3 linked regions of the Drosophila melanogaster genome follow. The protein of the gene in region 3 purifies or fractionates together with the protein of the main gene of each other region. This does not show direct contact. Each region holds a gene or a part of one and is shown on either strand. Other genes may lie near its edges. The genes, in order: Ssl, CkIIbeta2 and Pak3.

The links.
Region 1: the proteins of Pak3 (region 3) and Ssl purify together in Drosophila melanogaster (affinity purification with western blotting, with the first as the bait; one study listed by BioGRID). This does not show direct contact.
Region 2: the proteins of Pak3 (region 3) and CkIIbeta2 purify together in Drosophila melanogaster (affinity purification with western blotting, with the first as the bait; one study listed by BioGRID). This does not show direct contact.

The regions. Positions count from the first base shown.
Region 1 is NT_033778.4:24,498,647-24,502,203, forward strand, and holds Ssl (suppressor of Stellate-like), read right to left. Parts: upstream 1,622-3,557; 5' UTR 1,547-1,621; coding exon 1,536-1,546; intron 1,479-1,535; coding exon 957-1,478; intron 897-956; coding exon 770-896; 3' UTR 597-769; downstream 1-596. Other genes in the region: Prosalpha4T2 (proteasome alpha4 subunit, Testis-specific 2), read right to left, coding at 2,539-2,965, 3,146-3,375, 3,440-3,541.
Region 2 is NT_033778.4:20,287,404-20,291,145, forward strand, and holds CkIIbeta2 (casein kinase II beta2 subunit), read left to right. Parts: upstream 1-2,141; 5' UTR 2,142-2,275; coding exon 2,276-2,826; intron 2,827-2,920; coding exon 2,921-3,029; 3' UTR 3,030-3,147; downstream 3,148-3,742. Other genes in the region: CG34199 (uncharacterized protein), read left to right, coding at 224-235, 293-859; Cpr56F (cuticular protein 56F), read right to left, coding at 1,461-2,108. UniProt on the Drosophila melanogaster protein: Participates in Wnt signaling. Plays a complex role in regulating the basal catalytic activity of the alpha subunit.
Region 3 is NT_033777.3:16,448,884-16,455,757, forward strand, and holds the start of Pak3 (Pak3), read right to left. Parts: upstream 4,939-6,874; 5' UTR 4,028-4,938; coding exon 2,318-4,027; coding exon of another isoform or gene 2,276-2,317; 3' UTR 2,084-2,275; intron 1-2,083. Other genes in the region: CG10405 (uncharacterized protein), read left to right, coding at 5,684-6,297, 6,602-6,642, 6,716-6,867.

The sequences.
Region 1 (3,557 bases), on a different chromosome or scaffold from region 3:
TGCAGTATGAATGATTACTTAATGAAATTAAGTGTGAAAAGTGCGAGAAACAGGGTGGTGGCGCCATGGAGAAAAGCGGAAAAGGCGCTCTTCTCCACTCGAAGGAAAAAGGCGTCGAGTGGCGTGGAAAACTGAAAATGAAAGCGCCAGGGCGGCAGTAAATAATAATAAAGGCATGACTTATTGGAGATGCCAGCGGCAAAGGATCGGGAACAGGAACAGTAACAGGACGCGGCTCCTCCTGCAAATTCACGAATCCCTGCCCACGCCTCGGCTCAACGTAATTCCCATTATCGGCTTAGCAGGTTGTGCCGCCAAGTGGATTTTTATTGCGAAGTCCAGCGAACTTAAGGAGCACGCACACAGGGATGAAATATAATCTAACTCAACGTTTGGAGTGTAGATCCTTAATCCTTGTGCACTTGATGCCAATTCTCGAGTAGTAGAGGATCCTAATTATATTTAGACCGTGCAACAGAACTTTCCAACCATTTTCTCGCAGTGTCTGACAACACTAAGCGGATGAATAGGCCGCTTAAAGCTGCTTCACTTCCGAACTCCCAGGTGATTACCACTATTAACGGCAAGTACGCTTTGCTTTTCGAATGACTGCTTGATATGGCCAGCGTGGACCGAATGGTGTGAAGTGTTTAGGGCAGAGAGAGTGCACCCATGTGTTAGTGGTCGCTGGCCATATCAACGCATTGGGGAAACTGTTTAATTGCAACAACAGACCAAACCAACATTTGTGTGCTTTGTTCGTGTGGAGTTAAAAATTCGGGACATTCCTTAGCCAGGAGGGCGACTTGCTGACCGAGGATTCGACCTTTATTGGCGGGGACTCTGCTGATTCGGGCGGCATCAGGGCCTTCTTGTGCAACTGGAAGCCATAGATACTGGAAGTGCAAGTGCTTTGTGTAGAAAAGAACAAGGATTATATTCGAAGAATTACTCACCGGGGGATGTACTTCTCCACGGGCGGAGAGGGTATCAAGCTTGGCAGCTGCATAAAGAACATATGCGGGAAGCTGGTCCCGAACATGGCTCCGTCCAGCATTCCATTGTGGGGTAGCGGGATGTAGACGTTGTTACAGCTAGGGCAATAGATCTTAACTTGGGCCTTGTCCCACACGTCGTGAAGGCCCACTGGCAGGACTTTCTGCCTCTTACAAAAGACTCTCGGACACGATCCGAAGTCCCCCCTTTCGTACTTTAATCGCATATCTTCAATGCCACGCGGCGAAACGATGTACCGTGCATGGATCATGCCATACAGCTTCTTCTCTTCGGCGCAGTCCCAGTCCTCGTTGTCGAACTCCGGATCTAAGACTACCTCCAGTGTCTGGCTATCGAACTCCAGGCCCGTCAGATTGAACTTGTCCTGGATGTATTCATTGGGCACCCGGCAGGAGAATTCGTGGCCCTTGATTCCCAGGAACCAATCGATCCAACTGCCATCTGGTATCTCGATGCTCCTGCTAAAAGATTTTGGTGTAATTTGCTATGATTTTTATAGGAAAAACCTAGTTACTTACGGACACGACATGCTCACTCGAATAAAATATAATGAAAAAGTACAGTGCAAAATGACGAGACCTACTATTTCATAATGACAGACAGCTCAGTGACAACAATTCAAATGTCAGGGCTGCGACAGGGCAGCAGTGTTCCAAACCCTTTATCGCCCGAGGACTCGATGCCCTTCACAAAGACCTCAAACTCGTCAAATCGGCAAGGCTAGCCAGAAGCCTGGCTTTCTTGGAAGCCTAGGCCGCAAAACACGTCTGTAATGACCAGAACGTAGTCCTGATGCTCCAGTTGCTCAAGGGGAAACGAAGGGTGCGGTGCTCCACTATTGACATCATTGATGCTGCCCTGATGAACCCTTCAGGCAGGTCATACCCTTATAACAGCATACACCTTAACCCATGAAACCCACTTTCGGTTGAAGCACTTGATTTCAGGAAATGAGTGGGACTCAACTTTGAACGGCCAATATGACAGCCTGGGGAGCCCAGTGTAGGTGGAGCAGGAAATCGCAAATGGAACTCACGGCGAAAAAATCGACAGTACTTCTGCAATGGGAAAAGACCTGCTTTAATGTAAAGATGCCTTCAGAAAACAATGTTCTTTACATCAGGATCAAGGAGCATTCCTTGGCATCTAGGAATTTATTAACCCAATCAAGAGAAACCATCTCGATTGACAAACATTTTCTGCATGTGTGCGCGCACTTTCTTATTTTTCCTCTACAAATTCAATTCGCATTTTCACTTAAAACTTTTTAACTTGGTTGGCCTGAAAGGAGCGTACGCGTCTACGCCGGAGAGGGATATAAAGTAAACAAATACGCCCTGGAGACAAATTAAGTGATTTGCCCGCTTTACACATTTTTCCTGCTGATTACTTTTCTCCAACTCCCCGGCCGAAATTGAATTGCCCAGAAAAAGAGAGCACGACCGGTTATCAACTTTTGATTGGTCATGAAAATGGCCAGGGGCCATGGCGAACAGAATGGATCAGGGTGGCCGGCCAAAACTAGGGAGCACGGGGCCGCCGACTGGCCTCGGCCTCGTCTTCAATTTCCCTGCGAACGGTTCGCTCCAGATCGGCCAGGACCTGGTGATCAATCATACGCAGTGGCTGGCGGTACTTGAGCACAGCCACCTCCATTTGGGTGTGGTTGAGCGAGGACACGCTGACCAGGGTGCGGACTATGTGCTTGATGGCCGCTGCCTCGTCGGCGATGGTCAGAATCTCGTCCGCGTGCTTCTCCATGTAATCGCGGACCGGCTGGCTTGAGCGGCCGGTGGTGTTGGCCCTCCACTCGTAGAAGATGCCCGAGGGATCCGTTTGGAACAGGTGCGGAGTGCCATCCTCGTCGAAGCCCCCAACCAGACAGGACAATCCAAATGGACGCCTCCCATTGCTCTGCGTGTAGTTCTGTTTCAGCTGGGCTATGTATCTGCATGGGAAGCGGAAAGGACATAAAAGGTAAATCCAAATTTGCCTAGGGGGATGCACTGAGAGAACAGTTCTTAACTTTTTCGAAAGGGCAGGAAAAAGTATGCATGAGTATTTTGTGGTTTGCAACTCAGCTCATTCACTGCATACTTTTCCCTGTGTAGGCAGTGCTCTTCCTCACCGGGTTATGTACTCCACGGTCGTGGGCTTCTCGAAATTCAGACGATGGCTCTGGGCCTCCATTTGGGCGCGGCTTACCAGGATCCGTGCGTCCGCGGTGAGACCCGAAAAAGTCATCACCACGTGGTCGTCGAGCATGCAAATCTTGCGCACCATGCGCTCCTCCTGCAAGTCGCCCACGGAGCGCTTCTCCACGCCGATTACAATGGCGTTGTTGGTGCGCAGACCCATCTTTGGTTAGTATTTGGAGGATTAACTAATAGGCAAGTGCGGGTGGCCTCCAGGTAGGACTTACCACAGTGGAACCCCTTCGGACGGCCTCCTGGGCGTACTCCACCTGCAGCAGGTGACCGTCGGGTGAGTAAATGGTCACCGCGCGATCGTATCGCTGAGCCATTGAAGTGGGGCTACTT
Region 2 (3,742 bases), on a different chromosome or scaffold from region 3:
GCTCATCCGTTGTCAAGGTTGTGTGCATTTGATTCTTTTTTATTTTTGTCGGCTGGATACGTGACTATGTAGTCCGAAGATGGAACAGATGCAGTCCAATTGGTGTCAGACGAACAAGGTGCGTGTCCGGCATGATAAATATTGCAATGGTTCCAATTGTTTAATATAAAAATGAGCAAATCCCAAATATTGCACCGCAGTTTCAATCGAGCCGTTCATTAAAATGGTGACAAAGGTATGATGTGGCTATTTAATAAACATTTTTACGTAAATCTTTTTGGCATTCCTAAAGTTGCTTCTACTGCTGCCATTTGTGGCCATTGTACAAGCTGAAGTGGATTTTACCGGTGGACGTATAGCACCTTATGCACCAACTGGTTGGCATCCGCAGATTCCATTCAACTTACCCAACGAGTATGTGCCTGCTATCCGATCAAGTCAGGGAGTAGAAATCACAAAGGCACGAGTGGACCAGTTCGATCCAGTGGAAAAGCCCCAGCCAAATTATTTGCCTCCAAATCAACTGGATATACCCGAGGAAGAGATTTTGCCCACCTCACGACCGTCCAACAAGTACGGTCCGGCAGATCCGAAATTTAAAATCATTTATCCTGATGATGAGGAGCCAGTTACTGCAAAAAATATCGTAGACAATCAGCAGCCCAAAATCAGAGAGGGACGTTACTTCGTCATTTCGCAGGACAATAAACTACAAAGAGTTTCTTTCAGCTCCCAGCAAAACGCAGATGCAGATGCAGATGATTTTACGGCTCAGTTGACTTACTCCACTGTGGGGCAACTCAAGGATCCTGTGTATCGATACAACAGACAGGGACAACTGGAGCGGGTCCTGAAGTAGGCAATTTGGATATAGCTATTTGAATATGTAAAATAGAGTTGTGCAATGTATTCAATTCTCAGAATGAATTATCTTGTTAATTATAAAAACAGTTTGGTTTTTCTTTTTGACTTTGTTTTATACAAAAATGCTTCTTTATTCATTTAATAATTATTAAATATACACAAAAATCTCATAAGTTCGTTTCACTTTCGAATTTCCATTTTCGTTTAAAAACTAAATACAATCCTTATGCATGTATGTATGAATGCGTAATGGTCATGTTGTGGGTGAATGGTGTGTTGGAGTGTGTGCGTAGACTAACACAAAATGAAGGCGCTTAAACAAAACAAAACGGCAAGGAGTTCCAGGTGTAGAGACGGAAAACAGGATAACGAACAGCAGTGAAACGGAAACGGAAAGGAACGCGCCTGTCTATGGCAAAATGGCGGGCGTCCCACTAAGGGTATGCACAGAGATGGGAATAGGGTTATATGGATAGACTGACTGCGATCGCTGGCCCACTGGCTGGATGTGCGTTTAATACTCGGCCAGCGATCCCATGAAGTAGACGAGTATAGTTGCGGGGTCGACCTAAATCGGGTATCCTCACTTCCCCATCTTAGTAGCCGTTGAATTTGCCCTGCTGCGCGTTGCTATCATAACCGCCACCGTTGCGACCATTGCCATTGCCGTTTCCGTTGCCATTGCCGACCTGCTCGTACCGAATGGTTGGGCGGTATCCATTCTGGTCGGCCTCGTACTCAACAATCTGTTTGCGTCCATCGGGCAGCAGGACGTAGTAGCGGCCCACAGCAAGATCACCATCGCGGGACTCCATGTGGCCGAAGTCATTGCCCGACTCGTAGTCCTGTACGTCGTACTTGAACTCGTACTTGGCCGGTCCATACTGCTCCTCATCCCGTTGTCCGTAGCCGTTGCCGTTGCCATTACCGCCGCCATAGCCGCCGTTTCCGTTTCCGTTTCCGCCCTTGAAGATGGCACCAGTCAGCGCTGGAGCACCATATTGACCCTGGGGAGGAGCGATGGGGGCGCCATAGCTGTTGCTGGGCGCTCCTCCATTGCCACCGGCCCGCTGGGGTGGCAAGTAGTTGCTCGACGGCGACTGGTAGCCCTGCGTGGGCGGCAGGTAGTTGTTGGACGGCGCCTGAGGCGACTGATTGGGGGGCAGGTACTGGTTCTGGGGAACTGGTGGTTCCGCATGGGTCCAGGCAGCCAGGCACACGAGCAGGGCAATGGATGTAAAAGCCTGGGAATGAAAATTCAGGGTTGCATTTACATTACAGTTTTCGTTTTGAGTTGACAACCCTTGATTGAACACTCCGTCCCTGACAGCTGTCATTCGAAATTAAATAAGTCCTATTGTTAAGCTCTCGTGATTTTGACTGATTAAATTAAAGCTTAAAAGAAGCAGCTATGACCGATTCGGACGAATCTTCCTGGATTCATTGGTTTTGCAAGCAGCGTGGCAACGAATTCTTTTGCGAGGTGGATGAGGAATATATCCAGGACAAGTTTAACCTTAACTTTCTTGATTCGAACGTTAAGAACTACAAATGTGCCTTGGAGGTGATCCTGGATCTTAATCCGGGTTCAGCTTCGGAAGACCCCGCTGAACCAGAACTGGAGGCTAGTGCAGAGAAACTGTATGGCTTGATCCATGCTCGCTTTATCCTAACCAACAGGGGCATCGAACTGATGTTGGACAAGTACAACAAGGGCGAATTCGGCACATGTCCACGTGCATTCTGCCATAGCCAGCCGGTGCTGCCCATTGGTTTGAGTGATAATCCTGGCGAGGATATGGTACGCATCTATTGCCCCAAGTGCAATGATGTGTACATTCCCAAGGCGTCGAGACATTCGAATCTGGATGGAGCCTTCTTTGGCACTGGATTCCCTCATATGTTCTTTATGGAGAAACCGGATGCTAGGCCCAAGCGGGCAAAGCAGAAGTTTGTGCCCAGGTTAGATCTTCCGTTTCCTGTGTTTCCTTCTATTTCCCTATGTTTTTAAGGTAGTTACTAATAATGTATAACTAATGTAACTATGTTTTCCCAGGCTTTATGGCTTTAAAATCCACCCCACGGCCTACCGTACTGCCGCTGAGATCCAAAAAGATGTGACAATGACGCCAGTAGGAGAAATCGATAGCCCATCCCACATTTGATCCTAAAGCTAAAATTTCTCATAAGCAACTGTCGCGTACTTCTCGAATAAGTGGGCACTGTTCGCCCGGCTGGCTGCCAGCTCATTAAACTCTCATAACAATAACTGCTCAGGCTGTGACCCGCTTGACAATCTTTTGTTTGGATTTGATGGCCTGCGAGCAGGCCCAGAATTGGCTTTGTCTTTCCCATCTTTACAGCATTTAGCTGAGGCATATGCAAATCTGTAGTAATTGGGTCCCAGGTGAAGCTCCCATCGGATTGGATTGGATTTAGCTGGGCTGCAAGTGAAGGGCTAATCTCGTGATCTTGCGCAATGCGTCTGAATCTTAAGTATTCGCCGTGTGGCGCGGACAACCTGTGGGAGAACCACTTCGGCTCACTCTTACACAACTTATTTCCGAATCTTGTGCAAAAGATCTTCTGGCCGAGTGTTTAGGCACAGGGCCGTCAATGACTTTCATGCTTCATTGGCGTTAAAATGCTATGCTTTTTGGCTGCGCTTTTGTCTGTATTTTTTTTTTATCGCCGCCTGGTCATCTCCAGACTGCCTTACTTGGGCATGTCCAGTAGTTCTTCTTCCGCCACTTAAAGTTTCTCTAATTTATTCATTGCAAAATGACCCCAAGCAGCGGCAGCTGTTGTTGCTTCTGTTTGTTACCCACACCCTAGAAATGAACTGGGATCGCTGGTTGCAATTGTTTCCCAGGCGAAT
Region 3 (6,874 bases):
TGTGGAATAGATAACAGTGGAAACATACTTTCAACGCTAAGGTACAATAAATAGTTATTTGATGTGCTAAATAAGCATATTTTGCAGATACTCATAAGTATTTTTATCAGGGATTATTCACAGGTTAAGCAAGTATTTGTTCAGTGTAGCCAGCTGTACTTTGCCCCAAGATCGAGGTTCCACGCCCAGAAGCCAGAATGGAAAACGAAGAGAATGTTTTAGTTTTTGCGCAAATTCCTGAGCGTATCCCTCCTTTCTCCCTGCTTCCAGTACTTGCAGAATTAAAGATTTCAATATCCGCAAGTGAGAAGAACCATCGCTATCTCTCCCTCACTCTCCCGCAAAACGGAAAGCAAAAGTATGCGCCAGTAATATAAACAAATAGAGAGCCTAGAGATCCGGTAGAAGTTGGAGAAGAAACCAGGGGCGGATCTAGTTGTGGTTTGCAAGGAATATTCCCCTAATGTTTTGGTAATTAAACTTAGCTTCTGAAAGTATCTTTTAATTATACTCTCAGTTGTCACCACATTAAAATATTTAAACCTACTGAAAAACTAGCCTCCAGATCCGCCCCTGGAAAATGCAGAGCCAGTGCATCACAATGCAGGGGAAGATGCAAGCCAAAGTGGGAGTGGGAGAGAGTAAAAATAGCGCAGCCGAGTCGCGACGTCGCCATCCCCCCTCTCGTTTGCTCCTGCCACAGAAGCAATTAAGTTGAGTAAGTGGGAGGGCGACCAAAGATGCAGAAGAACTAAAGAAGAGTGAGAGAGAGAGGAAGAGGCCGAAGAACCGCCATCAGAATCAATTATACACACTCTCATTCTTTGTGTTACACACACTCAGTTTGACTTTGACTCCACTTTCGCTCTCTCGCCACCCCCTCTCTAGCACTCTCTTTCTCGCACTCTCTCGTAGAACTTTCACGATCTATTTTTTAGCTTTGCTTATCACATTGGAAATGGACGAAAATTGTTCTAAGAATTTGATAAATTCCCCTCCGGTTTCTCTACAGCTGGGGGAATTACAATAGCACTTATACAGCATGTTGTACGCGCCTGATAAGGCCAATACAAATGCATTTCGCTGCGCGTAGGTGTTTTCGCTGTCTGTGTGCCTGAATTAAAGTTTTCTTTATTATGATGTATGAATATTTTTTGGCCAGACAAAGCGATATTCCAAACAGGAAATGCGAACGAGCGTGTTAAATTGCGTACTCAGTTGTTGTTTGTTGTTACTGCCGGAGCGGCTTCTTTCTTTTACTTGCTTTTTTGTCCATTGTCGGTTTTCAATGGAATGGTTTGTGCAAAAACCCTATACGTAATAGGTGTCCAAACGAATGAGACATAAACAATTGCAGCGCTAGCCAAGTAACGGTGTGTGCTCTCATGTAGGAAAATCCCAAACTTCATTATTACGGAGAGATGTTCATGGAAATGGCAAAGAATTTTTTTAATTCAGGAAATAATAATATTTTTGCTATACCAGAAAACTAAAAAATGTGTCTTTTATAATAACGCATTAAGTTATCATCATCTGGTTTTTTCAAATCATGTTTGAATCATATGAAACGAAGAAAATTAAATATTTGTTGAATAAAACATGAGTTTTAAGTATAACTGTTTGTAGAAGTGAATCATTTTTGGATTAAATCCAACCCCACTGGTCCCAGTCCATTTCTCTGATGGATGACTTTCTAAATCATATTAAGCTGTCTTGGCACCATAACATATTTGCTCTATAGGGCGTTGCAAGCAATTGACCGCGTTAAAGATTCCCTTTCCCAGGTATACAAGAAATAAAATTAATCAGAGACAAAAGCCTCGTGCACTTCGCAACCTTGATCGAATTTAATCTGTTGTTCGAACCGAAGTGAGTTACTGATTAAAAGTCCCAAGATAGGCAACTATCGCTGTTTTGGGTCTAGGTCTTTGACAAAATTTAGACAGCAAAGAGAAACTAACCCATCGGACAATAAACCGACAGCCTCTGTTTCCACATGTGCGATTGCGAAAAGGTTTCCGTTGAAATGGATATCGTTTCGCTTGAATAATGAGCTTGGCCAAATGGGCTACCTGGGACTTACCTGTTTTCGAAGGGGAGTTGCCGGGTCCTAGTCCTGCTTTCGCCATTTCTACGGTTGTACATACTACAAAGACTACGGTCAGCATTCTATTCCAGTTCCAGTTCCGGTTTCGTCCACACAAAACAAATTTACATTGAAAACTCATTATACACACGGGGCAGATCCCGAACCCGAACCCGATTCCGCTTCCGATCACGCGTAGAGCAGCCTGGCCGTCCGGTGATTGCATAGCAACTATACGTTGCGTCGGAGCACCTTCTTGGCCGCCTTGATGTTGGGCACGAGGGCCTTGACCTCGCTGCAGTCGTTGAGGAACGGATGGCTGAGCAACTCGTCGGCGGTGGCCCTTCGGTCCACCTCCACCTGGAGACAGCGATCGAGAAAGTCTTGAAGGTTGGGACTCAGCTTATCCCAGCTCTTGATATCCGGCCGACCGTTGGCGGCGATCAGGTAGAGGGCGCGGAGTGGAGTCTCGTATAGGTAGGGTGGCTGGCCTTCGATCATCTCGATGGCCATGATGCCGATAGACCAGATGTCCACCTTCTTGCCGTACTTCTTGCGCGTGACCACTTCGGGCGCCATCCAGTACGGCGTTCCCACCATTGTCTGGCGCTTCTCATCGCCCTCGATGTTGGCGCAGAACCCAAAGTCCGTCACCTTAACACTGCCATCCATGCCCAGCAGCACGTTGTCTGACTTGATGTCCCGGTGGATAATGCCCTTAGCGTGCAGAAAACTAATAGCGTAGAGTGTCTCGCGGCAGACGCAGGCAATCTGGCGCTCCTTCATCACAGTCTCGGTAACGACGTCAGTCAATGGGCCGCCATCCATGTACTCCATGACTACCCACAGTTGGTCCTCGGGCTCCAGAAGGTAGGCATCCAGAAAGTTTACCAGATTCTTGTGGTTGAAGTCCTTGAGCACTCGGATTTCTGTGAGTATGAGATCCTTCGAGGACTGGTTCTTCATATCGATGGTCTTGACGGCCACCTGCGATTCGTTCTGCAAATCGGCGGCTATGAAAACTATGCCAGAAGCTCCCTTGCCCACCTCCTGGGTGGTCTTGTAGCGTTCCCTTGGGTCATCTGAATTGCAAATTGCCCGCAGCTCAACGTAGATTTCGGCATCGGTTTTCTGGGCCCTCTTCTCCTTGGAGCGGCGCAGTATCGTCTCGTCGGGATTATCATCCGCTCCAGCATCCTGGGCCCCTACGGCTGGCTTGATGATGATTGTGTCTGTGTTGATCTTGTGCTGGTTGTCGGAGTCCTCATCTCGACGTATATCCGAAGTGCGTGAGAACTTCTGTGTGACACGAGGTTTGGGCTTGATTTGCGGTTTGGGCGGTATGGTGTGGGGCGATTTCTTGGGCGGTACTGGTGGAGGCTCTTGCGGTGCGGCCTTCAGCGTTTCGCGGTGCTCCAGATTGGTCTTGAGCTCCTTGAACACCTCCTCTAGGGCGTCCAGCGGCACCGTCGACTGCTGGCTGCTGTCGTTGATGCTGCTGCTGTTACTATTACCTGCCGAGGAGCCACAACCGCTGCTACTTTCCGTCTCCGTGGCCGTCGAACTGCCATCGTCGTCGGACTTTTCGGGATCCTGAGACTTGTGCTTGTTTTTGTAGTTGACATAGTTTTCTATCTCCTTGGACTCCTCGTGGATCACATCTTCGGTGATGAAGGGCTTGAAGACCTCGTTCTCTTTCTTCTTAATCGAATAGTTGTAGTACTTAACGGCATGGTAGGCAGCATCTGGATTCTTGTCCTGCTCATCGCGAGTGATCTGTGAGTTCATTAGGCGCACCCATGGAGCTGGAAGCCCCTCCAGGTCGCCGGTTTCCTGGTTGCGCGAGACATGGAAGTGCCGTTGGAAGTTTGTGGGTGCACCGATCTCTGAGATCGATCCCCCATCTCCGCCCTTCTTCTTGAACCACTTGGTGAAGCTCATTTTCCAGCGGCTTTCTCTCTCTTTATTGTATAAGAGTGTGTGTGGGTGGGGGGGATTTTCTTCAATGCGTTTAGTAACGCTCGACTTGGGAAATTCTAAACGCTCGGCAGATTTGTTGTTGTTTCGCGTTCGGTATTGTTAATGTTACTGTTACTCAAGCCACCACTCTCGCTCTCTTTCTCTCTCTCACTGAACCAGCCGTGAGTCATAAACACATGCACAAGCACGCACACTCGCTCGTTCGGCCTGCGCTTTGTGTATGTGTGCGAGAGCTCTTCTTATCTCTAACTGTAGCTGTAGTTTCTTTCGCTTTACGAAAACGCAGAAGATTTTCACTTTTTATTGGCCCCACTCGCTTTGCTAATTATTAATTTAGCTACCTTAATTTATTCAGCAATCACCAGTTTTCAATTGCTCAACACACAAAGGCGGACGCGGACACGAACACGCACACATCTCGAAGTCGGACACAAAAGGAGTGGCCGTCGCAGTCTTGTTCTTCCAGTGTCTGTTGTTGTTGCTGTTCTTACGCGGGCCGAAAACTGCCTTCCCGTATAGTTTTTTGTTAGCCCTTCCAGGCTTCCATAACTATACGGAAGTATATTGTTGATTTGGGTATATCTAAGCCGCTTTCAGAGCAACACTCCGAAATTAATAACTTCTTTGGTTTTTCCCTTCGCTTTGCTGCAATCGCACTGCTGCACTCGGCCTGCTATTGTTGTCGCACTCGCACCAATTGTGCCGACAAATGCGAATTGTGTACGATGTACACTCTTTATTTTTACTATTAAGCCTAAAGGTTAATTCGCGATTTTAAGCTGCTCTTTGCGTTGCAATTTTATGTTTCTTAGGATGAACCGAAAAACATCCGCGCGTGTGTAATTCTTGAAAATTGCAGACTAAGTGTGACCGCAGCTAAGTTGGGCGAGTATTCCACTGTGTGGCCTTTTATCGAAACATCGACACTTTTATAGGACTATCGATGCTGGTCAAGTGGTTCAGTATTTTTTCCAACAATTTTGAGTCGGAACACTTTAAAAATATTACAAATAATTTTTTATAAAATAATATAAATATTATTCTAAACGGCCATGCTACTGGATAAATGCCTTTTAGTATTGACTAACAAAAGTTTCTTATAATTTTAAGTATTTATAGACCCTCAACTAGTTTTAGTATATATAGGTTTCCAATTCTTCAAAAATCCGAATCCGGTAATTAATAGAACTCAGTTAAATAAAAGAACATTTAAACATCCATCTTACATTCATTTATATTTGGGTATTTTAAACCTCATATCTTGTGATCTTGTGATATCTATATATATATATCTTCTGATCTTCCCATAAGAATCGATTTTTTAAAAAGATAAAAACTACCTTTTTTTATCAAAATGGTTTAACCATTTCTGCATTTCCCCGATGCTCTTGCGGAAGTTCATTGCCATCGTCACCGCTGTAAACAGTAATAAAATCAGAGAATCTGGCAGATAGGCAACAAAAAAACCCAAGCGACAATGGCTAATTACGGGCAACGGAGCAGCTTCTTCAGAAATCGTGTACCCCACTAGATAACGTCCGTGATTGATAAAGCGCCATTGAATATATCGACTTACGGATTCCCAATGCTGGTTAGTTTCCACTCGTTCGCAGCGTCATGCAAAAGTGCCGAGCTCCAATTCCGTTTCTTCTCATAGCTGGGATCCTTGTGATCCTGGAAGCATCCCGCACAGAGGCTGCCGTCCCTCGGCAGCCGGACAGTCGGATTGTGAACGGACGCGAAGCCACCGAAGGCCAGTTTCCATACCAACTCTCGCTGCGCCGCCAAACGGTACACATCTGCGGCGCCTCGATTCTCTCCAGCAACTGGGCCATTACGGCCGCTCATTGCATCGACGGGCATGAGCAGCAGCCGCGGGAATTCACACTCCGCCAGGGCAGCATCATGCGTACCTCGGGCGGCACTGTTCAGCCGGTGAAAGCCATCTACAAGCATCCGGCCTACGATCGGGCGGACATGAACTTCGACGTGGCCCTTCTACGAACAGCGGACGGAGCACTCAGCCTGCCGTTGGGCAAAGTGGCGCCCATTCGATTGCCCACCGTTGGCGAGGCCATCTCGGAAAGCATGCCCGCCGTCGTCTCCGGCTGGGGACACATGAGCACCTCCAATCCCGTCCTGTCGTCGGTACTCAAAAGCACTACGGTACTGACAGTCAACCAAGAGAAGTGCCACAACGATCTACGCCATCACGGAGGCGTCACCGAAGCGTAAGCAGGGGAATCATACTACTTTTTTAAGTTCTGTTTACCCAAGAGACTATTCCCTACATATTATGCCATGTAGATTGAACAAATTAAGAGTTTATCTCTATACACAACTCTGCCTTTCCAAAAATACTTCTAATTCTAGAAGACAGAAGCCCCAAAAAACTCACGAAGTCACTCACTGCTTGAGCACAATTTAAAAATTTTCAAAAGGGAGTTGGTACTTGAGATACATCTCTATTTATTGTTCTCAAGTGTTTATTGGTAAGACAAAGCCAATTAATTCCCAATTTATATTATCTTTCAGAATGTTCTGCGCGGCCGCCAGAAACACAGACGCATGTCAAGGTGAGCCCAGATAATTACAATTACGTTTAATCGACATGTTGATAATGACACCGTGAACCTCATCATTTTTCAGGCGACAGTGGAGGTCCGATCAGCGCACAGGGAACCCTTATCGGAATCGTATCCTGGGGAGTTGGCTGCGCGGATCCGTACTATCCAGGAGTTTACACCCGCCTGGCCCATCCTACTATACGCCGTTGGATACGCCTGCTCACAAAGTTGTAGATTTTCA